Linked DNA regions of Rhinolophus ferrumequinum. The protein of the gene in region 1 binds, or shares a complex with, the protein of each later gene. Links are inferred from orthologs where the notes say so. Each region holds a gene or a part of one and is shown in the gene's direction. Other genes may lie near its edges.

Evidence for each region.
Region 2: the proteins of SMC4 (region 1) and NCAPH2 are in contact, whole or in part, in a cryo-EM structure (PDB 9F5W), measured with the Homo sapiens proteins. The link is inferred for Rhinolophus ferrumequinum from reciprocal best matches to the Homo sapiens genes SMC4 and NCAPH2. Residues at the interface, in NP_001002800.1 of Homo sapiens: Ile100, Leu101, Gly102, Pro103, Ile112, Gly113, Pro114, Ser117, Gln1151, Met1152, Leu1155, Phe1227, Lys1228, Ser1231, Ile1232, Phe1235, Tyr1236, Glu1239, Gln1240, Asn1253, Asn1254, Phe1256, Glu1257, Arg1261, Gly1264, Ile1265, Tyr1266, Lys1267, Thr1268, Tyr1269; in NP_689512.2 of Homo sapiens: Arg494, Ile495, Trp498, Glu499, Thr501, Val502, Leu505, Leu506, Gln509, Glu510, His512, Phe547, Cys550, Arg551, Met553, Leu554, Leu557, Gln558, Ala560, Asn561, Tyr563, Val565, Glu566, Ile567, Gln569, Leu573, Glu574, Ala576, Val577, Asp578.
Region 3: SMC4 (region 1) and NCAPD2 share a complex: the UniProt entries of both Homo sapiens proteins name them as parts of the condensin complex. The link is inferred for Rhinolophus ferrumequinum from reciprocal best matches to the Homo sapiens genes SMC4 and NCAPD2.
Region 4: SMC4 (region 1) and NCAPH share a complex: the UniProt entries of both Homo sapiens proteins name them as parts of the condensin complex. The link is inferred for Rhinolophus ferrumequinum from reciprocal best matches to the Homo sapiens genes SMC4 and NCAPH.

Annotation. Positions count from the first base shown.
Region 1 is NC_046285.1:79,424,145-79,431,840, reverse strand, and holds the start of SMC4 (structural maintenance of chromosomes protein 4), read left to right. Parts: upstream 1-4,685; 5' UTR 4,686-4,841; intron 4,842-5,944; 5' UTR 5,945-5,949; coding exon 5,950-6,088; intron 6,089-7,000; coding exon 7,001-7,179; intron 7,180-7,645; coding exon 7,646-7,696. UniProt on the Homo sapiens protein: Central component of the condensin complex, a complex required for conversion of interphase chromatin into mitotic-like condense chromosomes.
Region 2 is NC_046293.1:252,999-260,506, reverse strand, and holds the start of NCAPH2 (condensin-2 complex subunit H2), read left to right. Parts: upstream 1-4,497; 5' UTR 4,498-4,638; coding exon 4,639-4,746; intron 4,747-7,508. Other genes in the region: LMF2 (lipase maturation factor 2), read right to left, coding at 159-440, 536-632, 706-817, 923-1,091, 1,224-1,406, 1,483-1,579, 1,644-1,749, 1,819-1,944 and 6 more. UniProt on the Homo sapiens protein: Regulatory subunit of the condensin-2 complex, a complex that seems to provide chromosomes with an additional level of organization and rigidity and in establishing mitotic chromosome architecture.
Region 3 is NC_046293.1:23,751,690-23,759,034, forward strand, and holds the start of NCAPD2 (condensin complex subunit 1), read left to right. Parts: upstream 1-4,343; 5' UTR 4,344-4,482; intron 4,483-4,565; exon of another isoform or gene 4,566-4,605; intron 4,606-5,353; 5' UTR 5,354-5,376; coding exon 5,377-5,503; intron 5,504-7,345. Other genes in the region: MRPL51 (39S ribosomal protein L51, mitochondrial), read right to left, coding at 2,662-2,858, 3,250-3,360, 3,435-3,513. UniProt on the Homo sapiens protein: Regulatory subunit of the condensin complex, a complex required for conversion of interphase chromatin into mitotic-like condense chromosomes.
Region 4 is NW_022680356.1:1,959,390-1,966,797, forward strand, and holds the start of NCAPH (condensin complex subunit 2), read left to right. Parts: upstream 1-4,391; 5' UTR 4,392-4,524; coding exon 4,525-4,543; intron 4,544-5,487; exon of another isoform or gene 5,488-5,685; intron 5,686-7,408. UniProt on the Homo sapiens protein: Regulatory subunit of the condensin complex, a complex required for conversion of interphase chromatin into mitotic-like condense chromosomes.

The DNA of each region.
Region 1 (7,696 bases):
AGCCCTAATATACCCATTATTTCTCTGACCTCATCTCCTGTTTTCTCTCTCTTTTCACTCATACTGCTCCAGTCGCACCAGCCTCAGTATTTTTCTTCTAACATATTAAGCATGCTCCTGCCTCAGGGCCTTTGTACCTGTACTCTGCCTAGAATCCATGCCCCCAGATAGCTTCACGTATTACTATTCTTCCCGTCTTTATATGTTTGTCCAAAAGTCGTCTTCTCCGTAAACTCTTCCCTGCATTCTCTATTTAAGGCCATCTGTCATACTATGCGTTTTACTTACTGTTGCTCCTTTCTAAAATGTAAGCTCCATGAATGTAGGAATTTCTGTCTATTTTGTTCACATCTATATCCCCTGCAACTAGAACCATCCTTGTATACAATAAGTGCTCAGTAAATATTTGTCCGATGAATGAATGGGGGAAAAAATGGGGTCAGCAGGCATAGCTCATAAATGTAGAACTTAAAGATATATAAATATATAGAGAATATAGAAATAGAATAGTAGCTATGAAAGCCTTTTAAACTTGGGTAGACCCCTGTATGTTTGTGGGGACAAAAGAGAAGGAACCAGTGGATAGGGATAGATTGGCAATACTATAGAAACAAATAACCAAGACAGGACAGTCCCCTATGAAGTCATTTGGTCAAGGGCACTGATAATTTTTAAACACATAGATTGACAGTTCACAGAAACATAAATACAGGATGTCAGTGGGCAATGAAAAACAATGAAACAACGCTCAGCCTCAATTATAATTAAAAAATGAAAATTAAAACAAATAGATACTATTTTTCTGTTTTCCTTCTAACATACTAAGCATGCTCCTTACCCACAGTCTTTAATTTTAGAAGATTTGAGGCTGGAGTTACTGTAGCTTTCTTACCACAGCAGGGAGAGAGCCTGGAGGTGCCAGAAGCCACTAGTAGAGCCTGAGAATAATGCCAAGATAATGGTATGCAAAGCAGAGCAAAGAAAGAAACCAAATCCTGTTGTCTTTGTTTGAACACTGAATCCAGTTATATTCATCTGATTTTCTGGTTATGGGAGCCATTTTTTTTTTTTTTATCAAGACAATCTGGATTGGGTTTTCTGTCACTTATAATCTAGAAAGTCCTACCTGAGACATTACTATAATTATTTCTTCTCCCTAGATTCTAAGAATGCCCATTTTCTGGTGCCGTCCTCTCTTTACTCACAACCTTAAAAACCTAATCTATTTTTAGTGTTCCAAGTGTTATTCTTGTAACACTGTTTCATCCTATTTTCTCTTGAGCTATATTCTCTACCACTACTGCCCACTGGACACATCTTTCCACAATCCCAACAAACATGAATAAAAACAAACTCATCTTTTAAAATGGTTCTTCCCCCTAAAACTGTTCTGCTTCTTCACTTCCTATTTTTTCTGCATTAAGTTAGGTGAGAGTTTCAACAAGCTTAATGTATTAGGGGGCTTATATTATCAAGAGGGATATTCATTACTATCTGTCCTGTGTTTATATCCAACGTATATAGACAATATTCTCTAAGCACTTATACATTACTTACATAAATTCATGTTTATTCATTTTATTAGCTAATATCTAATTAATTCAAATATTTACAACTACAGTCTCGATTAATATTTTTAAGCATTTACTCGCAAACCTAATTTCAGACTTAATGAAATGTTATAACCACGTTAGAAGGCAGATAAAATGTATATTATTATGATGACAAAATCATGCACTTAAAGAATTGCAAACGTGCATTGTAATTCTAATTCTAACTTTTCTCTGAACTTATTCTTATTTCTTCCTGTGGGGTACAACTTTACTTTTAAAATGTGAGAAGTGAGGGTTCTCTTCTCAGTCTGCCTGAAATTATAGATAATGGTTGTTAGTAGATGATTTTGGAACCAGGAGGATCAGACTTAGTTATACTTTCCAAAATGATTATAACCTAGTCCATTCCAATTAGACCAGCCTTTATTTTATAACTAGACAGTGTTAATTTCATGAGAAATATCAAAAGTATTGGCAAGGATCAATTATGTCTTTATTTCTTGGAACCCTAATCTCTTCTCAAATGACTTCTTATTCTGAGTGTCCTATTGTTGTTTTAGATTTAAGTCTACTTTGTAGCTGTTATGTCTTTTCTTCATTAAACAACCTTGTTTAAGTCTGTTTTGAAAATATTCCTTCTGAATGGGGTGTGGTTAGTTTCAACTAAATCTAAAGCCATCAGTCACTTTATTGGTTTATTGAAATTACATTTCTTTCCCATCAGTCATTAGACTTACCATTATTTACAGCAATCATCAAAGGCAGTAAAATTAGGATTTATATGTGACTTATCTTTCTCCCTGTCCCTTCATCACTAATTCAAAGATTCACAAAGAATAATATCTGACTTTAAGGGTTTATACTCTTAACTTTGTACATTAAAATCTATAAAAGCTATAGATTTTATTTCCTCCAAAGTGTGTTGGGATTTTTTTCCATTCTACTGTGTAAGCATTTCTCACCTCCCACATGGAGGGACTGTACAGTAATAATCTAACTAAGCCATGTCTGATCTCAGTTTCTTTAACCTTTAACACATCCCACATAGCTACTGTTTTTTTTGTTGTTGTTGTTTTTACCAAGTCATTCCTTAGCCCAAATTTTTCATGTTTCCTCCATAACATATCTAAAATCCTTGACTTGGATTTCAAGACCTTTCTTCATAAGCTAACCTTCTTCTAACTTGATTCCATTATGCATCTTTCACACAGTATCAAATGCTTGTAGGATGTGTGCTATGTGAACAATCATAAATAATCCCGTGAAATAGGTATTATATGCTGGTTTTATAAATAAATACTCAGAGAGATTGATAAATTGAATAAATTATCCAAGCATGTGGCTAAAAATGATGGGATTTTGGATTCTGTTATGTTACATCTTTCTACTACATTGTGCTCTGTCCCCCACATACACCACTCAACTTGGTCTAGTCTGCTTTTTCATGGTTGATATCTCACTAATTCAAGTTTTACAGCTTTACAAACTTCAAAAATCCAAAGGATTCCAGAAGCTCTCAAAGAGAATCCCTACATCTTTTCCCCCACATCTTTTTGATACGCCTACCAACCACATTTTTTTCTTGAGCTATAGTATCTGTAGCCTGTCTTATGAAAACAATTAATCCTTTTTTTCAACTTCAAATATAAAGGTACATTAGGATATCAAGTCAATGAGTATTCAAACCACACCAGTCTCCAAGCTCACGAAATTCTTACACTTGTGAGTGTCCACACCCCTTTTTGAGAATTACTGCACCTGATTTTATGCTCCTCAGAACAAGAGTCACAACACTTAAATAGAATGGCAATATAAATTCATTCATTAAGCAGATTTATTAGTGCTTTAGTATGCCAGGCACTAAGTATGCAAAAATTTAAAAGAAAAAATAAAGGAGGCCCCCATTCTCAATGTCAGAAGAGTTGCTGAATACTTACTGGAGATAGTCAGATCAACCAGTGGTTAACATTGTGGGGGATTAGGACCACGTTCCAGAATCTGATCAAAGTTCTGGGAAAACTAACTCCCCAGAAAAATGAGCGCACATACACACACACACACACACACACACACACATAATTTTGTATATCATTTCGGGGGGGGGGGCGCTATGAACTCCTCTGAAGCCCAATCACCAACCCCTGATCCACAGACTCCAGATAAAAACCCACTGACATAACTAAGTTCTCTGGGAACAACAATATTTGCTTAATAATCCTGATTATGTCTTGCACAGTGCGATGTACACAAAAGCTACTTTAAAAACATTTTCTCATAAAGATAACCAAATGACATCATCAAATCGTTTCTTCCATAACGGGGTCTTTCAATCAAATGATTTCAAAAGCCCGAAAACCCTTTTCTCTAGTGACACTTAAAGATCTAACACCAATAACTCGAAATTATTATTTTGCTAGTAACATGTGGACTACACCATCATTCACCAGTCCAGGTCTTCTCTTCTCCTTGTTGTCCCTCGATTCCCTCCAAACTCTGGGCTCCTCCTTCGCATCCCAAAAGCTACGTACAGAGCCCCACTGCCACCAGGGAGATGGAAAATAATAGATGCTCCCCGCCGCACACACCCTCAAAGAAAGTGGGATCCAGTGATGGCTACAATTTCCAAACCCTTTCTTCACCACATCCGGAGGTGAAGAGATTTACCTTACGTTCCAGAATTGCGGTGGCGATTGCTCTCACAGAGCTGGGGACCAGTTACCAAGCCTCCCGACCTTCCCGTCACCATAGTGACTTCAAAGAGCTACGCTCATTCCCTCTTCCCGCGATACTTTCCCGCCGCGCGTCACCCGAGCGGGCCTGAGACCCCGCCCCTCAGGGAGCCCGCCCTCTCTTTAAGGGGCTTTATTGGACGACTGAGCCCCGCCTCCAGCTTTGGGCGGAACCCTACTCTTATTTTTCTTTTTCAAAACTCTCCAGGTTTTTTTTTCAATATTTTTTATAAGAGTGCTGTTGCCGTAGGCCCCAAGGAACACAGTGTTTTGCTCTTCCTCTTCACGTAGAAGAAACGTCCCATGCCACCTGGGTTCCCCAGGGCCGGAGTTTGCGCATGCGTGTAAGCGACCAGAAGATGGCGGTGATAATCGCCGCACTTTTTTTTTTAAAATTAGTGGTTCCCAGAAACCTTTGCGCGCATTTGTAACGAATTTCCGTTCGAGTTTGTATTTTAGGCGCCATTTTCGAGTGAAGGACCCGGAGCCGAAACACCGGTAGGAACGGGGGGGTCTATACAACCGTTTCCAGCCTTGGTCTGAGTGGACTGACCCGCAGGTAAAGTACATCTTTTCCTAATCAGGTTGTCACACTCTCACTTCCTACCCCGTCCGCGGGTGCCCGGAAAGTAGAGGCCTTGAGCAGGAGCAGCCGAAGTCTGGGCTGAGGCTGTCGCCGGGAGATCTCTCTCGCTGTCACCCCTCCCCCCGCGGCCGCTCCCCGGCAGTTCGGGCTGCCTCGCGCTTCTCCCGGGCGCTACTTCTGTGATCTTCTTAAGCATCGCTCGGGGCGGTGGAGGGGGCTCTAAGCCTCGCGGATCTCAGAAATCCTGGTGTCTGTCGAGGAAAGGGCGTCTCCCCCGGACCCTTTGCCTTCTCTCTTCTCCCGAGGGACCAATCACCGGGTCCTAGCCCTTACTGGTGACCTTTCGTAGTTCATTACCCAACGGGATTCCGCCGCGGGTCCCGGAGAGACACCCCCGATCATCGCTGGCGTCCGATTTGGAAGTCCCGAGGGGTGGACCCCAGCCTCTGGCCGCCCTGCCCAGTGGGACTGTGGAGAGGAGACCTCGAAGCCCCCGAGCCGTCAACGGCGCCAAGAGCTAAATGGCGGGGAGAGGACGGGGCAGCCAGTCGTCCTAAGCTTAGCCTTCTGCTCTAGGAAGAGTTGATAGCCCCGCAAACCTAAAACTAATGCGAACTCCTCTAAGTCTGCGCTTGCATCCCTAGCCCCGAGAACGTGGGAATGTCAGTAAATGCCGGCGTATGGAAATTACTTCGTTCAGAAATTACATTCAGATATTCGTATACACTTAAACTGTGGGCGACGGGGGAGGGGGCATTAAAAAATAAGAACCCAAGTAGTCTGTGGTGGCTTGATTCCCAGGCACGTCTAGGTTTTCCCACTTGCTTGGAACTTGTTTAAGAAAACGAGCCCCGCACCTCTAGCACTTGGGGTTTGGGTGCCTTCTTGCCCAAGGACCCGCTGGCGTTGAGCGGTGTTTTAAAGACAGGCTCTCGGGAACTGGAGAACGGAGTTTTATCCCGAGTGGGGCGGGGTAGAGGCTGAGCCGATCACGTCGCGGGAGCCGGCGGGGAATGTACCCGCGCGGCCCTGCGGCCCGCGGGCTGACTTAACTCCCGGCTCTCACCCGGCCCCAGCGACCATGCCCCGTAAAGGCACCCAGCCTTCCACCGCTCGGCGCAGAGAAGAAGAGCCGCCGCAGTCCCCGGACGGCACCAGCAACGACGCGGAGCCCGAGCCGCCGCCGGGCCGCGCCGGGCCCAGGGCCCCTGCTACTGCAGGTGAGTAGCCGGCCGAGACTGGGCCGGAAAGCGCGCTGGAGGACTCGAGTGGGTCCGTGCCCAACCCGGGACTGGGCCGTGTTATTTGGCGCAGGAGAGAGGGGCTGCGCGTTAGACGTCTGAAGGTCGCGTGTCTGCCCGGTAGATCAGATCAAGAAAGCGATTCGGGGATTTTCAGAGATTAGACTCTTCGTGCAAGTTCGGTGTAACGGTGCTTGAGGGAATGGGGGCGAGTAAATTGCTTCAGTTGTGAATTTCTGTTTGTGGCCTTGTATTTCCGCGGAAATCGGCTCGGTCAGCCAATAGCCAGTGGACTTCTTTTCAGATAGAATCAACATGACTATGTTAATGTGATGAAAAGTTGCTTGACCCTCACCTCACTCCCGTGGTCTTAAATTGCGATTAAAGAGAAGATGATAATGTCCTCGAAACCACCGTAACATTTGTGAGTCCAGTAATTAGATGACCTTACGAAACCCTTCTGACAGTGTCGCTGGAGATCTAGAGTGTCCAAAGTTAAGGTTCCAGATGACCAAAGATACGGAGAGTTGGATAGAGCCTTAGGGATTTAACCACCTGTTTAGGCGGTGAGCAGGGAATCAGGCTGTTGTGGTTTTACCAGATTTGCTTTATAATGTAGTGTTTTGACTCCTAACAGGTATATTTCTATAGAATTTTGAGACTGGTGGCATTTCTTTTAAGAATTTCTTTTTTTATAAAACCAAGATGAAAGATTGTCATCTCCTGTGAGCTTAGGACACTACTATATTTAACTGGAAAATATAGATTCCTACGTTTCATAAGTAACATCTCTCCAGAGATTAGCAGGCACTGGTCCTCAGAACTAATTGCACTAATGCAGGCTTTCCCTCCACCCTTTGCCTTCCCTTTCCTTTCCTTTGACTGACTTAGAGACTCCAACTGAGGAAATTAATAATCGAAGTTTAGAAGAAATTTTGAATAGCATCCCTCCTCCCCCACCTCCAGCAATGACCAATGAAGCTGGAGCTCCTCGACTTATGATAACTCATATTGTAAACCAGAACTTCAAATCGTATGCTGGGGAAAAAATTCTCGGACCTTTTCATAAGGTATTTGACAATTTTAAATAACTGTTGGGAAATCATGAGTCTTTATTACAAGATGTTTCAATTTTGTAACTGTTAGATTGATCCTGATTGATTCACACACGGTGTATTTCCTATGCTTTTAACAACAAATTAGTTTTTGTTTTATCTAGTTATCGTTGGTACCTTTGTAGCTATTATAAAGTTTTTCTCACTGACTAGAGTTGGTGAGTTATTCGTTTGAAAAGAGTATTTTCTCTTGATTAGAATGAATTTTGTAAAAAGTCTGTGTTAGAAGATGGTCTTATTTAGAGTGTTTGACGCTTCTGATAAAGGTGTAAGAAAATTTAAGTTGTGTTATCTTGTAGCAGTGAAAACTTAAATAGTTGTAGATTTGCTGTAAGTAAAAAATCAAGGCATTTAAATTAAAATCAGTAGTATGACCTTTTTAAACTTCATTTTAATTTTTTTTTATGTTCTTTTTATGCAGCGCTTTTCCTGTATTATTGGGCCAAATGGCAGTGGCAAATCCAATGTTATT
Region 2 (7,508 bases), on another chromosome or scaffold:
GGGCAGCCAGAGTGTGCCCTGAGGCTGGCACCCCGACCTGCGTCTGCCAGGAGAGTGGGCTAAGGCACAGGTGGCTGGGCCATGTCCTGCTCCAGAGGACCAGAGGTGTGCTCGGAACCCTGGCCCTCCTGGGACAGACATAAGGCTGACAGAACATGCTACTTTCTCCGCTGGGGCGGCTGGGAACTGCTGCTGTTGGTGGGGGCTGGGGTAACTCCGGAGTCCTTGGGTGCTGGCCTGTGGTTCTCCTTCCTGGCTGCCGGGCAGGACCCGGAGGGACGGTGCCCGAGCAGGGCCTGTACGATCCTAATGGCCCCCACTGTGAAGATGAGCCCCCAGAGCAGGGTGGGGGCCTCCAGGGGAGACAGCTGTCTCCGGACCCAGTGCAGAGCTTGGGTGAGGGTGTTGCTGGAGCTTCGGACCCGGGGTGGGCTCTTGTCCTGTTGGGGCAGGATTGAGGAGGGTCCATGGGGGTCGTCCCTGTGGGTGGAGGTCAGCCCTGCTACCTCCCACAGCCTGGCTAATGACTCCTTACCTGGAGACCAAACTGCCTGAGCAGCATGTCCAGCGTGGGGTCTCCCAGCGACACGGGTGGGAAGAATTCCTCAACCCACTGGCGTCGCCACCACTGGCTGCAACAGGAAGGGGCGTTCAGGTGGCACCCAAGCCCAGCTCCCCGGCATGCCGCCAGTGCCCCAGCCTTACCCCTGTTCCCCCGGCTGTGAGAACCAGTACTTGTAGCGCTGGGCCCGCACGAAGTTGGGCGGCTGCTTGTGGAACGGGTACCTGGTCACATCGTTCTGGATGAGGAGGATCACTGTGGGGAGGGGAGCTCAGCTCCACTGGCAGCTCCTTCAGCCACGCCCACAAGTCCCCGCCTCTCCAGCAAGCTCCGCCCCCACCCCTCTGATCCCGGCCTTACCTGGCTCCTTGCCCTGTAGCAAGCAGAGGACCAGGCTCGTGAACCAGGGGCTGTGCGTGTGCGGGCCCAAGGCCGCAAACCACATCTGCCAATCAAGGCGCGGCTGGTGGGGCACCACGACTGGGGGCGGCCGGCTCACATTCCCAGGCTTGTACATGAACTCGATCTCCTGTGTGCCCAGCTGTGTTCAGGAGGGTGGCTGGACCCAGGACCCCCCTTGTCCCCCCAATGCCAAACCCATGGGTTTCCCTGACATGGAGCCTGCCAGGCTCCCCAGGCAGGGGTCTGTGGGAGAGCGCACCGTCCAATGGTGCCCGTCGTAGCTGCCCTCCAGCACCACCTCAGGCCGCCCACCCAGACCAGTCATCCGGCGAAAGAGGCCATAGGAGTTGGCCAGCTGCAGGTGCTCCACGGCGCCAAATAGGCGATGGGCCCCGGTCCAGAGGCGCCCATGGGTGGAGGGCTCCATGTAGGAGTATGGCACCTGGGGATGGGTGGGCACAGGCTCAGTGCTGCCCCCTCCAGCCCCCTCCCCCTGCCCTCTGTGAAGTGCTACCCACCAGACTGATTGTGAACAAGGCCACTGTGGCAGTGCCAAAGATGGACAGCTGAACGGCAGCCCAGAGCTTCCGCAGCCACCCTCGCACCTGGGTCCACCTGGGGGACGGAAGGGCAGTCAGCCCTGCTCTGCACAGCTCTACCCCCCACCCCCCTCACACACCTCCAGAGGGCCGTCAGCAGTTCCCAGCCGAGGGAGGCCGCCCCCAGCCACATGGTGGGCAGAATCACCGTCTTCAGCCACTGGGAGAACTGGTGGAAGGTGAAGGCTGTGGAAAGAAGGGAGTATAAGGAGGGGTGGGCCAGCCCTTGCCCTTGGGCGCCCAGCCGGCACTCACTGGTCCTGGAGTGGACAGTGTACTGTTCCCAGTCGACCTCCAGGCCAAAGTAGTGCACGGTGCCGTAGGCCAGCAGCCCGCCAACGGTCAATTCCAGCAGCAAGCTCAGCAGGGCCTTGAGCCAGACTGTAGGGCAAGACAGTCAGGGGTCAACTGGGAAGAGGGCTGCAGGGTGGCAAGGGGCTGGGGGGAGCCAGAGCAGAGGCCACCTAGATGAGTCCGAGGAAAGGACACAGCCTGCTGGGCAGCAGGGTGAACATGGCTGGTTGTCACTCACAGGTGGCTGTCTTTTTGCAGTGGCTGTTGCCAGGCTCGGCAGCCAGGTGCTTGTCATCCAGGAGGGTGGTGGTGAGCACCAGGGTGAGCAGGTTGAAGAAGTTATAGTTGCCCGTGATGATAATCAAAACTTGCAGCAGGACCTGCACTCAGAGCCCCCGGGGCCGCCACGGACCGGGCCTGTCAGGGCCTGAAGCCCACGCCTACAGGCACCCCTTGACCTCTGTCTGGCCCCGCTCCCTCTGTCCTCTACCCCTGCTCATGCCTCCCATGACTCCCCAGCACCACCAGGAGAACACCCAGGCTCAGCACCCCTCCTGCCCCACTGATGCCCTCCAGCGAGGCTGTGCCCTGCCCACAGGCACACCTTCATGTTGAATTAACTCGTTCCTCTGCCTGAGGCCTTCCTGACTGCTGGCAGCAGCCACCCTGTCCCTAACGGGACCCACTGGCTTGTGTGGAGGAAAGCCATGTCCCTGTCTCCCTGAGGCGCAGGTCCACACCCACCTGGCAGTAGAAGGCAGCCAGGCGTAGGCGGCGAGTCGGGGCGAAGAACAGAGGGGGCACCGCGACCTCAATGAGGAAGGTGGCCACCACACTGAGCCTGTGCAGCCAGACGGGCAGGTGGTGGGCAAACCAGGAGGCAGGTGTGGGCAGGCACTGTGTCTCGTAGTGGTAGGTGAGGGCTGCAGGTGACGGTGGGCGGTCAGGGCTGGGCAGAGCCTCCAAGAATGCCCCATGTCCAGTCTGGGACCCTCACCAGTAAGCCCCCACCACGCGGGGCAACGGCTGGTCAGCTTGACCACACCCGAGGCGAACATGAGGCGAAACAGCAGCCAGCGCACGAGCCAGAAGGGGAGGCCTTCGTGGGGCGAGGCCTCTGACAGCCTGCCCCAGGGGGGCTGCCTCAGGGGGGCCACCAGCACGGCCAGGAAGCCAGTCTCCAGCAGCAGGGAGTCCCTATGGGGAGTAGGAAGAGCACAAGGGCCGCCCCATCAAGGTGCTCCCGTCACAGGGTCCGTCACAGGGTCCTCCGGGGACAGGCAGACACACCCTGCCCCACCCCAGCCTCCTGCAGGCCCACACCCAATAGTCACTCACCACTGGAAATACAGAAACACCTGGCCCACCTGCAAGGAGAAGAGCTATCAGGGAGCAGGGGCTGTACGGCTGGGGAAGCAGAGAAGGCAGAGACGGGGGGGGGGGGGGGGGGGGGGGGGGGGGGGGGGGGGGAGGGAATGGATGAGGCTGGGGTGGTTGGTGGCAAGGTTCTCAGTGGTGTGGGGGGGCAGGAGGCAGCCCCACTTGCCTGGCAGGCTGACAGGTAGGCGGCCCAGAGCAGCAGGTAGGTGAGGGGGTGGCACAGACGGCGCAGCAGCAGGGCACCCAGAGCCAGCAAGGAGCCCAGCAGGCTCAGCAACTCCAGGCCCTGCGCTGTGTCCAGTCCCAGCCGCGGCGCCTCCCACAGCAGCGTTGGGACCTCCCACAGCTGCTGCCAGCGCGCCTTGCCCTGCGGCCGCAGTGTTCTCCGCGCAGGTAGGATGCCCTCAGTGCCATATAGGCCTGTGGGAGGGCATGTCAGGACCAGGCCCTGGACGTTGCCTGGAAGGCTAGACTTCCCCCACCTATCTACCTCCTCAGGCAAGACCTGCAGCGCCCCCCCCCCCAGATCAGGATGTTGCAGACCCTACCCCAACAGGTCAGAACCTGTTGACCGCTCCATTCGCACCAGGAGCCCTGCCCAGACTCCCCAGGCCAGGATCCCACCGGCAGAGCCCAGGTCCAATCTCCTCCAGGTCAGAGCCTTATCTCCTACCTGCCTCACCAGTTCTGGGCCCACCTCCCTCTGGATTCTGCCCCAGCTCCCCGCCCCAGGTCAGAACCTGGAACCCTACGGGAAACGGACCACTGCAAGCTCTGCTACCCCCTAAACTCTGCTACCCCCTAAGCTCTGCTGCCCGCAGGACACGAACCGCAGCCCCCTACCCCGCACATCAAGGCCTGGCCCTCACTCCCGCCCCGAGACAGCGGAGTGTCGGGTGGGGAGAGGACAGGGCACAGGGCTGGGTCCTGCGGGTTGGGGGGTGGCGGAGCCCGGCGCCCTCACCCGGGATCTGTGTGTAGAGGGAAGCGAAGGCGAACAAGAAGACGGCGGCCACGCCCTGGAGGAAGAGCTGCCGCGGGAGCCGGGAGCCCGCCATGTCCGCTATGCGGCCCGCTGGACACGAGCCCGAGGGTGGGTCCAACTGCAAGCCCCGCCCCATATTAGCCCCGCCCCGACCCCAGCACACGCCCCGCCCCTACGTCTGCCCCTCCTCCAGCGTGCCTCGCGGCCCTTACGGCCCAAGTCCGCTGCGCAGCGCCCGGGTTCGCTCCTCGCCGGCCTTGGCCGTGTACGTCATAGATGTGCGCCCGGCGCCGCGCGCTACGTACTTTCCTGGGCGGGAATAGCAAAATGGCGCCAGAAGTAGTGGCGAGCTGAGTACCCTGGCCCCCCTGGAAGCCTGCGCCGCGGTTTCTGGGCCGCCCCGGCCCCTCCCAGACATGGAGGACGTGGAGGCGCGCTTCGCCCACCTTCTGCAGCCCATCCGCGACCTCACCAAGAACTGGGAGGTGGATGTGGCGGCCCAGCTGGGCGAATATCTGGAGGAGGTGAGGGCCGCCTCGGGGGAGTGGCGTTGGGCGGGCGGGGCGCCGGGCCCGGGGCTGTTGGGCGGCCTTGCGGCCTCCTGGTTTGTGTATATCCGGCGGTCTGGCGACGATCATTCTCAGGCGCGTTCCCTTTTTGCCAACTCCATCGCTGCCTCCCGAAATCATCCCTTATTAAATTAGCCTGGAGCTGTCATTCCAGGTCGCTACCCATTGTGAGCCATGAAATCGGTTCAGTGGGTGATGACCAGCATTTTTCCCTAATGTAATAGAATAGAATTTCTGTGCGTTTTTGGATGTTTGAGAGATCCTGGATCACGATGAAAGAGGGATTGACTTCTTTTAAAATTTATTTTTAGTTATAATCGACATACAACATTATATTGGTTTCAGGTGTACAACATTGTGATTTAACATTTGTGCACCTTACGAAGTGATCATCACAATAAGTGTGGTAACCATCTGTCAGCACACATAGTTATTATGATATTATTGACCAGAGGGATTTCTGTCTTGGATTTTCAGACCAGTTTCAAGCTACTGCCATGTTTTATCCCGTCCGCACTGAACCTTTCTTACATATTTTCACAGCTGTGTCTAGCCCTCCTTAAGGAGCTGTCCGCTCCATTTTTACACTTCACTTATATTCCTCCGTCCACTTGGACTGCTCTTGGCTTGATCTATCAAGTCCAGGGGACACTAGAAGCGTTTGTTGGTTGACCACACCCTCCTTTTTGAAACAGGTTTTGGTGTTTTGATTTTCTTCCAGTTTCATTGCCTACTTTTTCTTTCCTGTGCAATCAGCAGTGAGCTGCTCAGAGCGGTCCTGGGCATCTTCTTACACATTTCCCTGCAACAATTTCATTTATTTCCACGATTTTAAATATTGCTGTATGAGGACAACTCCCAAGTTTATGTCCTTATCCCAGATCTTTCCTCTGAATCTGTTTTGTGTATCCAGCTGTTCACTTGACATTCCACGTAGATGTCACAAAGCATCTCAGAGTTAATGTATTTAAAGTGGAGCATTTTATTTTCCTGCTCAAATCCCACCCTTCCGATCTTGGTAAAGAGCACCACTCTTCAACCAAAGGTGAAAACTAAGAGCAGTTTTAGTGAAACCCACACTCCACACCCAGTTCACCACCAGAATTCATACCACCAGGATTTCACTTAAATTCACCTGTTCTCCTTTTCCTATAGTCCAGGCCACCATCTGACTAAGATTCGTGTAAAACCTTCCTTCCTAGGCACCCAACTGCTGTTTTTGGTCCTATCCAATCAGTGTTCCATCCAGCAGCAAGTGTGACACTTAAACATTATCAGGCTGTAGCACTGCCCTGTCTAAAACTCCTCAGTGGCTTTCCATTGCTCAGAATAAAATCCAGACTTTCTGCCCCAAATTTGGCCCTGCTTACTGTTTTAGCCTTCACTCTGGTTCTTCACTGTTCTTTTGAGCCAGTCAGCCTACAACAGCCGATCTCGTTCTTGACTGAGGGTATTTATATTCTCTGTTCCTCCTGGGGAGTATTCTTCACCCAAGTCTTTTTATGACTAATTCCTTACCCTTTATGTCTTAGTTTACATGTCAGCTGACCAACCTGTCTAGAATAGTTGTGTCATAGTACCTTACATACTTTAGAATGTTTTTTTTTACAAGCTATTCTTTAACTTGTTTACTTGGTTATGGTCTGTTTCCACCCTAGAATATAAATTCTGTAAGGGCAGTGACCATGTTTGTACTCTCTTCCCTTTGCTAAGCAAAATGTCCAGCACTTAGTAGGTATGGAATAAGTGTTTGTGAAATGAACACTTGATCTGACAATCGACCTCTGCTTGGAGACACACTCTGCTGAGAAAATGCAGAGAAGTGTGCTGGGTGGGGCTACTGTGGATTCAGGTTTCTACCTCAAGCAGGGTACTTGGGGATGCCTGGTAATTCTACTTCTGGCTTGGTCAGCTCCCCTCTGCTTCATTTGTCTGCTCTTCCAAACCTTCCCTGCCCTGTGAAGTCCTGAGTTCTCTAGTTTTGTCTTTCTTCCCATTTCATTTTCCACACAGCTACCAGAATGTTCTTTTTAAAAAAAAACACAAACAGATTTTATCATGTTGCTACCTATCCTCTTTCATCCACTTATTTATTCATTGTTGTTGAGTGTCGTGTACCAAGAACCATGTTAAACCTTGAGAAAATAGTGGCAAGCTTCACTTGCCACTCCTGTAGGGAGACGCAGCCTGAGGCAGTAACCACAGCAGGTCGTACACACATCACGCATTTGGTGCTTGCTTATGCCAGCCCTTTTTTGTGTGCTTCCTACGTCTATGCTCATCTAATGCTTACAGAAGCCCCGGTAGCCCAAGTGTTAGTTCTGTGGAGAGATTCTGTGATGTGCTCGAAGTCCCAGCTCATGGCAGAGGCGCCCCCCCCACACACCCCTTGTGTGTCTTTGTGTAACCACAGACTGATGAGTGGTTCAAAAGAAAAGTTGAGGGTTTCATGAAGAGTGTGACTTGGGAGACTGAACATTGGGATGAAAGGAGTTGCCTTGTCATCGTGAGCTGTTCCGGTACAGACAGTGTTCCAGGGTTCTGAGGTGGGAACATGTTGGCTCAGTGGAGGACCTGGAAGTAGCTGTGTGTGTGCGCGCATGCCCGCGTTGGGTAGGGGGGCAATGGGAAGGGAAGCTGGCCAGCGTGGGAAGCTGTTCAGGATTTTGGGTTTCTTCCTAGGAGGGCAAAAAGCCATTAGGGTTCTGAGTACAGCG
Region 3 (7,345 bases), on another chromosome or scaffold:
CACTTACCACTTACTTTAACAAGTACTTATTAATCGATAAAGTCCTAACAAAGACATGAAATGTTACTGAGGTTAGACTGAAATATGGCTGTTGATACTTCATCACATCCCTACAATTGCATGCTGCTTCCGATCCAAAAATGGAGCGCATTTCCTCATAGCCTTGAATCTGGGCTGGCCTGTGACTTTCTTTGACCAATACAATGTTGCACAAGTGACACCATGTGATTTCTTACCTATGTCTATCAAGCGTTACAACTTCCATTTTTAACTTTGGGATCAAGCCTCCACGTAAAGGAGTTTGGGTTAAACTACAAAATAATGAGACCATGTTAAAAAAAAAATCTTAGCCACCCCAACTGGAACCAAACATGTCAACAAACACATCTTGGACATTCTAGCTCCAGCCAATCTTCCATCTGAATGAATGCAACATGACTGACCCCAGCCCACACTAAATGGAGAATATGCTTGTTGAGACCAGGTAACCCAGAGAATATGAATTAATAAATTTTGTTTTCAGTCACTAACTTTCAGGGTGAAGTTATATAACAATAAGTAATTGAAACAAGTATCTACTTGAAAGGATCTGGATCAGATAAGAGGCCTAATCATCCTAATTCCTCTACCTTCAAATCCAACTTGTATATGTTAAGTAACTCATTTTCTTTAGTTTGCAATACTACTTTTATAAATAAAAAGTTAAAATAATTTTTAAAACATTTCCATTCATTTCTTCAGGTTTTTCTAATCCTTGACAACTACACACATTCCAGGAGTGTCATTACCATTTACACTTGCCAAACTCTACAAAATATTTTACATGCATAATTTCATTTATTCCTCCAATTACCTTATGAGGAAAGTATTGTATTATTCCTACTTGACAGGCTAAAAAAAAAAATCTAAGGCTTAGCTACTTTGCGTAGGGCCACGTGAATAGAGTGGTAAAACTTGAGTTTAAACCCAGACCTGTCACTCCAAAGGCCATGTCATTGATCAATAGTCTATACCAGAGACTTACCCATATCAACCTAATAACCCTCCCAAGAAACACAAATAGCACTTTTAACCCACATAAAAGATTTCTTTATAAGCAACACATCAAATACTTTTCCTTATTTCATTCTGCAAATATTTGAAAGCCTCATTATTCCAGGCACTGGAGGCATACTAAATCTAATCCTAGTCAGTACATGATTCTAGAAACTGTAGCAACATTTTTCTCCTCTCAGTTGAGTAATGCCAAGCTTATTTAATGTGATTCACAGGCAAGTAAACTATTAAAAGAAAAACAGACAGTGGCATACCATGTTTTCATTATAGCTAGACCTACCTCGCCAACTTCTAGCACATACTGTGTTCTTTCACTATGCACCACTGATCACTCTTCTCTTCCCCCCTTAAAATGTTCTACCCCTTTTTTCTCTCCTTACTGAAATCTAGCATCATCTATGAAGCCTCTCCGAATTAGGCCAAATACAATTTTTACCTAGGTCACTTATTGTCCACATCAATGGTGTCCTAACATGGCTAGTTAAAATTACCTGAGGGCTTTTAAAATTGTAATTACCTAAAATTAGAGACGTCATACTTTGAAAAAGCAAAAGCCTAGAAACAATCTAAATGTCTATCAAAATAGAATTGGTTAAATCATTATGGCACATGTGAGGATATAAAATAATATCCAAGTTATATTAAGTGAAAATGCAAGGTACAGAACAGTGTATATGGAATCCAATTTTTTTAAGGAGATAGACATATAGTCTTTAATATAAACCTGTACATGCATAGTGTATGTCCCAAAGGAGTAAAAAAGAATCTTGTAAGAGTGTTTGCCTTGGTGAAAGAACACACACAAAAAAAGGCTGTGAGAAAACTTTTCATCTGATTACCCTTTTGTAATTTTTAAATTTGCATTGTATGTATGGATATTTTATAATTATTGAAACACACACATATAGACGCATAAGACTCAGCTCAGCTCTACAGATCACAGATCTTTGGGGACAGGAACCAGGCTTTTGAAATTGTTAAACCACCATGATTCTGATGATCAGTCATGCTTAGGAACTACTGATGCAAACCATTAATGCCTCATATTAAAGTGTACATGTGAGACTATGACTTTATATCCCTAACTAGAAAAGCATGTTGGTCGGGGAAGAATATACGACACTTTTTTTCCCCCTACAGTTCTCAGCGCAGAAAAGGTACCCAGTATTTTTGATGAGAATAGTACAGAATTCCATTTTTCTGTTATGTTTCATTCCAACGTGGGAGGGTTTTTTAAAATACATTTAACATTTAGCATTATGGAGCACTTAAAAATTACCACTTTCAATACATGAAACCCAAAGGACAAGAAGTGCCAACAATAATTTTACTTTTTTAAAGGCCATAAGTATGGCTAGACTGCAAAGGACAATCGATGAAGTCCAAACCTAAGACAGTAAGACTTAGGGATGAGTCAGACTTCATAGTCTACATGAATGAGTAAAAGTAGCATCTAAAGGAAAATAAAGTATATGGATAACAGATTCCAAAGAAGCCCCATTTTATTATGGAGAGCACACAAATCCCTTTACTCATAAGGAAAAGTACTGTTTCCTTTCTCCTGGGTGATAGATATGCCTCTTCCACAATTCCTAGCTTTCTCTTCTACCGGTACTTTCCATGTCGGTTAAAGTGTTTGTAGAGATAGCTGATGCGTTTGTTAAGGTTGTGCAGGTCATCAATGAACATCCGATTTCCAACCATTTTCTTCTTTCGGATACAACGCTGCAATTCATTCCCCTTCCAGCCTCGAAGCCATCTGGGGCCCTTGATTAGTTCTTTGGGGTGCTTTTCAAAATTCCCTGTGTAACATGAGAGCACATATTAGCCCAGACAACCCAGCCTCGACCAGCTAAGCCTTCAGGACACAGTTGCACCTTTCTGAACAGTACCTATAGACAAGCCACATTACAGTATCAAGAGACGCAAATTCCGCCATTGCCATTTATTAGCTTTGGAAAAATTACTTAACCTCCCTGTGCTTCAGTTTCAGCACCTGTAAAGTGAAGAGGTTATCATGATTAAACGAGTTAATACATGTACAGCACTCAGATCAGTGCTCAACACAACATAAACAAGCCACATAGGTGCTCTTACTATTGAGCACAGTACCATTCCTACACAGGTGGAAAAAAAGAGCTGTCAAGGCGTAACTGCCATTCTTAAACTATGGACCATGAAGTTGAGTCTTACCCAAGATCCCGACGTTATCATACACCCCGAACATGGCCCTCTTCTCGTTCCAACGATCAACTACTTTGGGGGGCGGGAGGGTGAGTCTTACGTGTAACAATCCTGGAACACCTAGAGATGGAGAAGAAAGGGACTGAATCTGAGAAGCAGTTCCCCCGGGGCGTCTTTCTACGTCCGCCACTTACCCAGAGAGAAGCTTCTGCAGGCCGGGGGCACCCAGCCCCAAAGGCGCCTGCCTGCGCCCCCAGCGAGGCTCCCTGCCATTGTTCTAGTCTCTCCCCTACAACAGGACACCTCAATAGCACAGAGTGAGGGCCAGACGTGGCCTCCAAAGAGATGACAGGAAACGTCAGGTAGCGGCCTCACACGGCTCTTAACCTGACGCAGCCATCTTGGTCCTTACCCAAGTAGCTCTGGGCGCAGGGCCCGCCTATGCTACACCTTCCCCAACCACAAGCCCCGCCTTCCGGGTTCCGGGGCAGAGGCCTTGACACACACCCTCCGGCGTTCACGCACCCCGCCCCGCCGAGGCGCTTCCGGTCTGCGGGCCGGAATCTTGAAGCGCCGGAAGAGCTGAGGGGCTCGCTTCATCATCGCCTAGGGCGTCCCAAAACTGAGCTTCAAGAAAATTCATTCTTTCGTTTCCTTGGCTGTCCCTCTACTATGAAGGAGCTGAATATCCAGACCGTGGAACCCAGAGCTTCCTTTCTCTGTGCTTCACAGCAATTTTGAGCTGTCGCTGTTTCTATTACCCCTATTTTACAAGGGAGGGAATCCGAGACTCAGAGAGTGAAGTGACCTGCTAGATGTCACATACCAGAGGAAATGGCGAAACCTGGATTAAAGCCTAAACCTAAATCCTGCCCTGGGGCTGACTGAGTAGGTCACCACCCTAGGGACACTACCACTGCCCAGCTAGAAAAGTGGCATCTTGGGCAGGAACTGCCGGGGTCTCCTCCCCACCGAGCGGGACAAAGGAAGACCCTGAAGGGGAGTGATCACCCGCAAGACCAGGAGCCCGGGGAGTCGGAGCCTAAATCTAGGTCCCGCCCCTCCCTAGGCGATGCGGCCGGGCTTTTCGGCTCCTGCGCTGTGATTGGCCGGTCTCTTCAGAGAGCGTCGCGATTGGTCACCTTGCGACCGTTGAGATTTGAAGTCCACGATTTTGGCTTTGCCCGCGCGGCGCCGCGCCTGGCTCAGAGGCAGGTTTTTGCCTCCTCCTGCTCGCGATTGGTAGGTTTCTCGGCCCTCTTGAGCGCTGCCTCTCTGATTGGTGCGTATTGTGCACGCCCTGTTTGTGCCCGCCCTGTTTTTCCCTTCATTTCAGCCCCACAACCGAAGTCTGAGGAACGGCAGGTGAGGTTCTCCGGTACAGTGTGGTGTTAATGGATAGCAGGGAATAAAAAACTGGGAAAATCGGGTACAGGGTAATACTAGGCAGCGTACGAGAGGCAGGGAAATCTAGTGGGTATATCTTTGGGGTACGATGTGGTAGAAACAGTCTGACATATCCGCAGCAGAATTTGGGCAGATCGCGTAAGCTTTTGTAACCTCAATTTCCTCATCTGTAAATTGGGCTGTATTATCACTCCAGGAGATTGGGATTTGGAAAATTAGATCAGATATGCTCTATTCAAATAGCCTAACAGAACCTGGCACATAAACAGGTAATGTTAATGCTCTCCCATTCTGGAGCCAGGAAACCCACTAGCCCATGCCAGGCCACTGTTCGGGCCTCAGGCGAAACGTTCTATTTTAAAAAGCTTTGCCCATAAAAACGGAAATAATGCAAACATAACGCATTGATATGCCACTTTATTTAAACTTTCATGTCCCTTGACTCCTTTGAAAATGAGCAACTGTGATCAGAGATTAGCAGTCCCGTTGTACAGGTGTGGCCCGGAGGGTTAAGTGACATAACCAACTGATAGAATCATGACTAAAATTAGATTCGTCTAGGGTTGATTTCACATCCCCTAAGATGTCATCAGCACGATGTAAGACTAAAAAGCATTATGTATTGGAGGGAGTTGGGGCTAATAGAACCATAAGAAAAGACAGTCCTTAGATGCAGATCCTGACCTATTTGCTGTTTGGTTTCCAGCCCTGTGAACCAGTTGGAGAAGGATGTCTCCCCAACTTTATGAGTTCCATCTGCCCTTAGCCCCAGAGGAATTGTTGAAAAGTGGAGGGGTGAATCAGTATGTTGTGCAAGAGGTACTGTCCATCAAAAATCTTCCATCACAACTTAGAGGTAAGAGTGCATACCTGCCACTGTGCCTAGCATTTCAAAATAACCATCCCACATGTAAATTCTATTGTTTGTCTGTTCCACTACATCACTATCGCCTTGAGGGCAAGGAACATGTTTTTCCTATTCCCTATTGTTTTCTCCCTAGTATTGCATGGGATGCATTACAGGAAGAGTGCACTCATTGACCACCTTATCTTGAGTATTCAATAATTAATCTTGGTGTATATGGGGAAAAATTATTTTAGAGCTTTATCTCCTGCCATATGCCAAAATAAAGTCCTGGTGGATTTAAGAGCTATTGGAGAACACAGCTTTCTCCAAATTTCTGGGACTTTACCTGACCTATTTCAAGTAACACTTTTAGATTCTGGAACTCTTGTTTCTAAGAGTATGCAATAATCAGAAAAAAACAATATATAAGAGTACGTACAGCTGCAACACTGTACAATATATGTGCAATATATGTTTCCATCCATGGAAACCTATAGATGATCAAGAATAATTTAGGCATTATCAAACAAGACTCCATAATGTCACTATACTTACTAGAGGTTGTCTTCTATCAGTTAGATTGCTTTAGAGAGGTACACAAAGTAGAGCTTGAGACTCTAGAGCCAAGCTGCATGCATTTGAATCCTGGCTGTACCACTCTGACCTTGGACAAGTTACTTATTCTCTCTGTGCCTCAGTTTCCTCATATGTAAAGGTAGGAATAATAACCTACTTCATTTACTATATCCTACAACAAGAAGAGTTAGTTAATACAGCAGTTTGAATATCACTCCATCTTTATCTCCTCTTGGCCTTCCCATGATGGTTGCCAGGTGGCAGTTCTTTGTTCTGATGTCCAGAGGTAGAAAAGGGGATTTTCCTATTTTGTGCTTTTTCTTCTTTTCCTTTAAAAATTTTACCTGAAGCATCCCAACAGATTAGCCAGAATTGGATCATGTGCTATTTCCCTAACTAATTCCTAATAAGAGAAATGGAATTACCCAGATTGGCTCAATTGATCAGTGATTTCTTAGGAGGCTTCCTAAACCTGAACATATCACCATTTGGTAAACAAGGAATAAGTGGAATGTGGAAGTCGACTGATGGGTGGCCAACCAACAGTGTCCACAGATAAACTATTCTCTCCATATTGGGTATCACCAATTGCACATGGCTACACACTAGCAAACTATTATTCAGTTATTATAATATATTATTTTTTAAAATGGATGATTACTCTCTTTAAGAATCCTTTTTTTATATAATTACATTGCTTTTGGTGTTTAGAACCCTAAATACCAGTTCTATAAATATACAAGATCAAATCATTTAATTTTCAACATGTACTGATGATATGCTATGTGCCAGGCACTGGTGATACAACAGTAAACAAAACAGACAAGATGACAAAGTTCTCTCAAGGCTGTCAACAAGTAATAAATATGAAGTGTGTCAGATGGTTATAAATGCCAACAAGAAAAATAAAGCAAGATAAAAAAGATACAGTGTGCCAGGGTAGGGACTGGCATTTTATGTTGGATGATCAGAGAAGGCTTGCTGATAGGTGTCATTTAAAAGTGAGGGAGTATGTGGGATTACATCAAACTAAAAAGTTTTTTCACAACAAAGGAAACCATCAAAAAAACAAAAAGGGATCCTACTGAATGGGAGAAGATATTTGCCAATGATATATCCAATAAGGGGTTAATATCCAAAATTTATTTAAAAAAAAAACCTCACTCAACTCCAAAACAAATAACCCAATTAAAAAATGGGCAGAGGACATGAAGAGACATTTTTCTAAAGAGGACCTACAGATGGCAAACAGACATATGAAAAAATGCTCAACCT
Region 4 (7,408 bases), on another chromosome or scaffold:
TGGGTGCGGTTGTTTGGGAAATCCAGTGCTGTTCCTACCTCGCGTGCCAGAAGATCGGGCCCTACGTTTCCCTTGACCTCAGGGAGGTTTAGGTGCTGGCATTGGGGGCTTTGGTTGTAGATCCACACCCTCCCCCCAGCAAAAGTAAGTCACAAGTGTCCGAGAAGCTGATGCCACTGAGTACTTGGGGCTCCCACTGCACAGTAGCTCCCGTGTTGTCTGCTGGTTTCTGCTGATGCTGCTTTCAAGTTCAGATGCAATGATGGTTGTTTCTGTGCTGGTAGGATTTCAGTGTTTTATAAACTTTCATATGCTTTTTGTTTAGAAAATAATTTGCTGGTGTTTTCATTCTAAATCAATAAAGGAGGCTCATTTCTGTATCAGCTGGAATCTGTGCGTGAACACCCGGCAGATTAGTATCCTCACATGCCTGTTCCCCAGAAGTTCACATCACCCTGAGTGGCTCCATCCAGTACAGTCTGCTGTTTCTTAGTGTACCTTGAACCAGTTTGCCCTGTGGTTTCCCAGTGGCCTGGCTAGTAGCCAGGAAAGACTAATTCAGAATGTTTAGGAACGTCTAAGTTACTCATTTTCATGGTGTCCAAGCCAAAATGTCAGCCAGATTAAAAGATCTTATTGGCTGTGTACAACATGCAAAGTTCTAGAGGCATAAGTCTGTCGATAGAGAGAAGGTGATATGTTCTAGGGCTGTGGGGTTTCTAGTCTGTAAGGGGCAAGAAAGAAAACAAGGTGACAAGCGGGCAGAAGACTACAAAGGGAACAGTCAGCACAGCTTGGGTGGGGCAGTGGGTGTAAGAAAGAGTATAGAAAAAACAAGTCGTAATGTGAAAAACAGAGCTGTAGTGCTCTGGGAATACTCTTACAATGAAAGGGGAAACCTCCAGGTATTAGGACGCTGAGCTTTATTCTAAGACAATACCTGGCTGGCACCCAGGACAGAACACTAGTTACGGGAATGGAAATACTAGTGTTCATTGAGCATTGCCAAGGGTCCAGGCACTGATCTAAATGCTTCACATCTGGTAACTCATTTAATCCTCACACTCGAACCCCATGAAGTGAGTGCTCTATCTTATCCATTTTACCTAAGAGGAAACTGAGGCACAGAAAGGGTACACAGCTTCCCCAAGGTCACACAGTAAACAGCAGAGCCAGCACGGTCTTGGGAATCAAACAAGATGTAGGGTTTAAAGTGCTTTGAAAAGCAAAAGGCACTGTATTAATTTTAACATAAAAGGTGGTATGTTGTTTGGAAATTCCAGAAGATAGAAATTGTTGGTTCTTGGCCCAGTCTTTAGGAGGTCATGCATTTCGTATCACATACAAAATTAAAGGCATTTGCTCAGAGGCCAAAATGAATGTAAAGCCATTCCAACTATGTGCACCTTGAGCCCCAGTGACTAAATGGTTTATATCACGAACTACATCATGACATAAGCCAGCGGCAGGCTGGAAGTTCAGGGCAAATTTGAAGCCAAAAATTGCTTGTTGAGGTAGCCAACTTACAATACCATTGTCCCTCACCTAAGCTAAGGCTGTTTGCCTTCATTTGGGGAAGTAGAATCTTAGTGAGGAGTGAAATGAGGAAGGGGATAGCCCCAGCACCGCTGTTCTGCAGACGGGTGGGGGAGGGACCCCACTACTTTATTTTTGTACAGAGGAATTGAGTTTTACACACCACTGACAAATCATTCAGTCTTTTTGGTACCCTCCTAGTCCTAACCTCCCAACCCAAAAGAGGGCATTCAGAGCGGGAGGTGAATGACCTGCCTGCACCTGGTGGACCTGGCCCCTGGAAATGGAGATGAGACGCAGGGGGTGGGGCTGGCCGTCCCTGCACGCAGAGCCCCCAGCAGTCAGCTCAGGAGGCTCCATCACAACCACATGCCTCACCGAGGCATAGCCTCATGCTTAACTGAGTGGTCACCTAGTAGCCTTCCTTTGCCAGGAGTTCCAAGCCAGCTCTTCAGAGGCTCCTGATTCCATGCTACCTACTGTCTTCCCAACCCCCACCGCTCTTGGTTGGTGCAGACATGGAATCCAGAAGCTAGCCCTCCTCTCTCAAATGCACGAAGCACAGAGGGCACAAGTAAGTGAGATGACAGTGACCCTAGCATACTCTGAGCCCATGTGCTCATGGGCGTTTACTACCTACACCCTCATAAAGCCCAGCAAAAGGGGTATTCTCATCACTGTTTTATAAATGGGGGAGAAGACGAGGCCCAGGGAAGTTAAGCTTCCCAATCCAGGACTTAAGCTTGTCTTCCAACGTCACTCATTCAATACACATTTAAGTGTTTGCTGTGTCCAGGGCTAACACCAGGCCCTGGGAAAACAGTGATGAGCTTCATCCTTATGGCGCTGTCTGTGGAGGGGATAGACATGAAACAGTCAACCCAGCGGATGTAAAATTGCACAGGTGACCAGTTCTAAAGCCTCCAGTACGGACACTTGAGTGTATCAGGGAAGCCCACCGCATGTGTACAGGTCCGGTGTGGGATGTGGGCGTGGTGAGGGCCAGTGCCAACGGAGGCCCAAGTGACTGGAGGGCAGAGAGCAAGGGAGGGCAGGGTACAAGACGAGGTTGGAGAGGATGCAGGGATGGGACTCCGCAGGACCTTGTAGACCACCTTGGAAGTTCCCAGAGCAGTGGGACTTTTGAATGTTTCGGACCTTGGGGAGGGAGTGTCAGGTCACATTGGTACTTAGCAACCATCACCCTGGGCCCAGCTGGCATGGGGTCAGAGTGGGTGTGGGACAGCTGCCCACCAGCAAGAAGGTGCTATGGATGAAAAGGAGAGATGCAGGATTGAAGAGATTTTTAGGAAGTGAAGGGAACCAAAATTTTGCTGCCCTGACGCTGCTCTTTGGGATATTGATTTCAAGCTTTTTATTAAGAAATGACTCAGAAAGAAACTTTGCCCCTCCTCCCCCTTTTCCTGCCCAAGAGATTCAGACAGAAACATCTGCTTCAGGAAGGGAGCCTGGGCTCAATCACCTTAAGAATCTTCACCTTAACATTAGTTAGGAAGACTCCATGCCTGTTAGCTTGTTACCCCCTCCTGTGTCTCATTGTTTCTGAGTTGCCCAGCAAGAATTTCCTGCCATGTATGTTCCACTCTTTCTCTACTCCCTGTAAGTTGCACTTTGTCACTTCTGAAATCTAATACCCCTTCCCCTGCCTTCTTCTTTGTCCAAAATGTCTTACATACCCAATGTTTCCTGTCTTTGGAATTGTCATGTTTATGTGAATTCCCCATGTGCATGTATTAAAATTTTGATTTTTCTCTTGTTAATTTTCCTATTAATTTGATTGTTAGCCCAGCTAGGAGAACTTAGAAGGTGGCGGAAAGTATTACTCTTTTTTAGAAGTAAAAAGACTCAAGAGTGGATTGTGTATGGAGAATGAGGCAGAGGGAGGCGTCCAGGATGGCTCCAGGGTGCTGATTTGGGTTCCTGCGTGGCTGGTGGCTGACATGAACACTGTAACTGTTTTCTTTCCTCTATCCCACACATTAAACATTTGGTGGTCACTGGGAGAACAAGTTCCTGCAAAAAACAAATAGGCTTAAAAGAGTGGTTTTCAATAAGGGTAGTAATACTTTTTTGGTTGCCAAAATGACTGAGGGGCAGTGGTGACATTTAGTGGGCCAACAGCCCTTATGCTGGAGCAGTCCTCCATCGAGGGCAAGAGCCCATCTGTCAGGAGTGTTTCACTCTGAATGCCAAGAGCACCCTTGACAAGAAACACTGTGTAAAATGCCAGATATGTGTTGTAACAAATTACAGGTTGTTCTAGGGATACTTGGAGGAATTGCCCTGGCCTATCCTCCTGGAATACAACTCTTGGGATCAGATGCAGCAGAATGAAGGGATAGGCGGCACATTGCGCCCGCCTCACCGCCGACCTTAACCTTTGCTGTTTTGAAGGGGGGCGGGTGTTCGTGTAGCTCCAGGAAGCTTTACGCAAGAAGCTATAGAAAACGATGGACTTCATTTAAAAAAATGTACATGGAACATTTTGCACCTGTCCTCCCCTGCTGGGAACGCTCAGTGCGGGGTCGGCTCCCCGCCTGCTCCGTCCCTCACCTCTTTAGCGTTGTGCTGCCGTCACAACACGGGGAAATCACCCTCGTTTCCTGGTAATCTGCCTCCCCCAACAGTACGTACATCCCTTCCGTGAAAGCAGAGCCCTCGCCCGCCCGGCTCTACGCTGGGCCCCAGCTCCCAGTTCCACGTTTAACGCTCGAAAGGACAGAGTTTCATGCTATCCTCGGGGGTCCACAGACCCCCTCCAATCCACCACAGGGCCCGAGCCCCCAGCTCTCATTCCCCGACGTCCCGCTCTGGTGCTACCCCCAGAGTCACTTTTCGCCCGGCAGGCTGGGCGGTCTGCGCCGGCGCGCCTCCGGCCCCGCCCACGTGTGACGTCACGCGGCCGTTACGGCGCGCCGGCGTCTCGGCGCGCGTTTTAAAAACAGTTTCGGAGAGACGGCGGGCAAGATGGGGCCTCCCTGCCCAGGTGAGTCGGGGCTGGCCGCGGCGCGGCGGGAAGGGCCCGTGCGGGGCGGGGGGCCCGCGGGCGGGCCTGAGCGGGAGTGAGGTATTCTCGGCCTTGTTGTAGGCCTTGTCGTTGGCCACGCTCTCCGCGGGCAGAGGGAGGCTGGGGGGAGGGGAGGGCGGGCGGTGTGCTCCGCCAATCAGGACGCGGTCTCCGCTGGCGCCTCACTGTTCGCCCGCGTAGGTGGGAAACTGTTTCCCCTGGGTTCCTCCACCGAGCCCGGTGTCTTGGGCATTCAAAAGGTGGTTTTCCTTGAAGGCATGTTAGTCCAGGGCCATGGAAGCGTTGTGGGTACCTCTGTATGCTCAAAACGCGTGCATTTGTTTTTACATTCATACAAGTATTGAGTGTTTCCTTCCGGCCAAACCCTCTGTCGGATGTAGAGATACACCAGTAAAGAACAAAGGCCAGATCCTAGCCTGTTGGAGTTTGTATTCTAGTTGGGGAGACAGGGAATAAATAAACGACATAATTTACAGATGAGTCTGAGTGCTGCGATTTGGTTGAGATGTCCTCATGGCTCTCTTCCCAGCCAGAGCAGAGTGAGGCCCCTTTAGGTTAGGTGGTTCACTTAAGATTTTAGCAGAGACTGGAGAATGTGTTCCAGACAGAGGAGCAGGTGCAAAAACTGGGCAAGCGGGAAGGAGCCTGGCATAGGCGAGGACAGAACCCAGTGACTACACAGTGAGCAGGGTCACTGAGGTGGGCAGGGCCTTTGTAGGTCTTCATAAGATGTTTCGGAATTTAGGGTTACGTTTTGGACATGGTAAATGACCTACAAGAGAGACAGTCAGGTGACGGGGTCAAAAAACACTTGGGTAAGACTTTGCCACTCGGGGGAGTGGCCCCTGGACTGAGAAATAAATTTGGACGTCATCCTCATAGGGCATAAAACTATGGCACAGGTGAGAACACTAGGAAAAGCCTGTAGAGAAAGCACTCAGGACCAACATTTAGAAGCTGGATACAACGAGTAGCTGGAGAAACTCAGAAGAGAGTGGTATAGGAGCCAAGAGTGTTTCAAGAAGCAGGGAGTTGTCAACTGTTCCAGAGGCTGCTGAATCTCAAGAGAGATGAGGCCTGAAAAGTGGCCACCGGCTGAGGTAACATGGTAGTTGTGGGTGGACAGACAGTTTTCATAAGGTGGTGGGGACGGGACCAGACCAGAGGGAGCTGAAAATGAGTAGCAGGGGAGGAAGCAGATACAGAAAGTGTTTTTGAGCTCAGTAACCTTATCTGTTGAATGAACACATGCGTGATGTCAAAGGCAGTGAGAGAAGTCCTCCTGCAGTGCTTCCTGTTTCTTCTGCCAAGGTCTCTTCTCCTAAGGTCCAGCCCCCTTCCTTACCTCGCAGCGCCCACATCCACATATATAGTCACAAGTCCCCTTGATTCGGTCTTGAAAAAAGTCTCTTCCTTCCTTTCCATTTTTACTTTTTTTCTTTTGCTTGTTTTGACCTCAGCTGAGAATTATATGAATGATATTCTTCAGCCTGTAGGAAGCTATCAAGGGAACAGTGAAGTTCTTGTATTTGTGTTCATTCTTTTAGCCCTGTTCTCCACTCCTTTTTCCTTCCTGTCACATGGGCAATCATTTAGTGTTACTGTGTATCACTTTTTAATATGTTTCTATAAAATATGTTATATTGTGTATATGTATTTTTTTCATATTGCTAGTTCTGAACCAGCTGAGATACACATTCTCATATGGCGGATGAAAAAGCAAACGTTTAGGCCATGTACTTGCTTAAAATTTCTCTAGCTAATAAGTGATGGATCTGGGGTTTGAAAACAAGCCTTCCAATTCTTAAATCTGGAAACGTTCCCACAAGATCTTTCAATGTCAAGGTCTTTCAGTGTCCTCATCTCTCTCTTCCCAATTATAGTTAGGCCACTGCACTCAACTAGCATAGTCACACCCCAGACCTCGTCATTGTTAATGGCTGCACCTTCTGTCATCTCAGTGTCATCTCAGTTTTATGACCCCACTTCTCAATACCACTCCTGTCTTTCCAACTCACTCCATCTTGTTCCCCGACTCCAGCAGTCTTTGACCCAGCAGATCTATACTCTTATTTTCACTGCCCCTCACCTCATGACCTTGTTCCCCTCGTTGCTTAGCTTACATGCCGTGGTCCGTCAGTGGAATCCCTCCCTCTCATACACCCGCACCCCCATGCCCTCTTCTTGCTTCCTTACACTTGGCAAACTCTCAACCTTGGTTAATTCCAACTCCGCCTACTTTGCCCAGCGCACCTGATAGTGAAGAGGACCCAAAGGCTGCCCAGCAGTCATGCCGTATCCCCTGGTTCACCCACTCTCCCTCTGGATGACTATTTCATACCCTCCTTTCTCTCCTGAAATCTCCCCAGCCCTCACCCTTAAGATGTGGAGTTGGGGGGTGGGGTAATTTCCTATTTTACTGAGAAAAGAAAAGCAATCAAGAGAAAAGAAAAGCAATCAAAAGAACATCCACAGTCCACCATTGCGGCTGCTCCCTGCCTGCATCTGGGCCTGTGTTCTCCGCCTCCTTTTGCTGTGGATGGGCTCTGCTCTCAGCAAAGGAACCCTTTTACCTGCTTGAGTACATTGTTCAGCAACTTTCACCCTTCTGCAGGATCTCTGAGTTATGTGCCCCCGCCAAAGATGTCTGGAACCTGTGAATGTTATCTCACATGGTAAAGGGGCTTTACAGGTGCCATTAAGGATCTTGAGAAGAGAGATTATCCTGGATGGTCTGGACGAGTCCAGTGTCATCACAGTGGTCCTTGTCCAGGGAGGCAGGAGGTTTGATCAGAGATGCGGTGACAGAAACAAGGTGGAGTG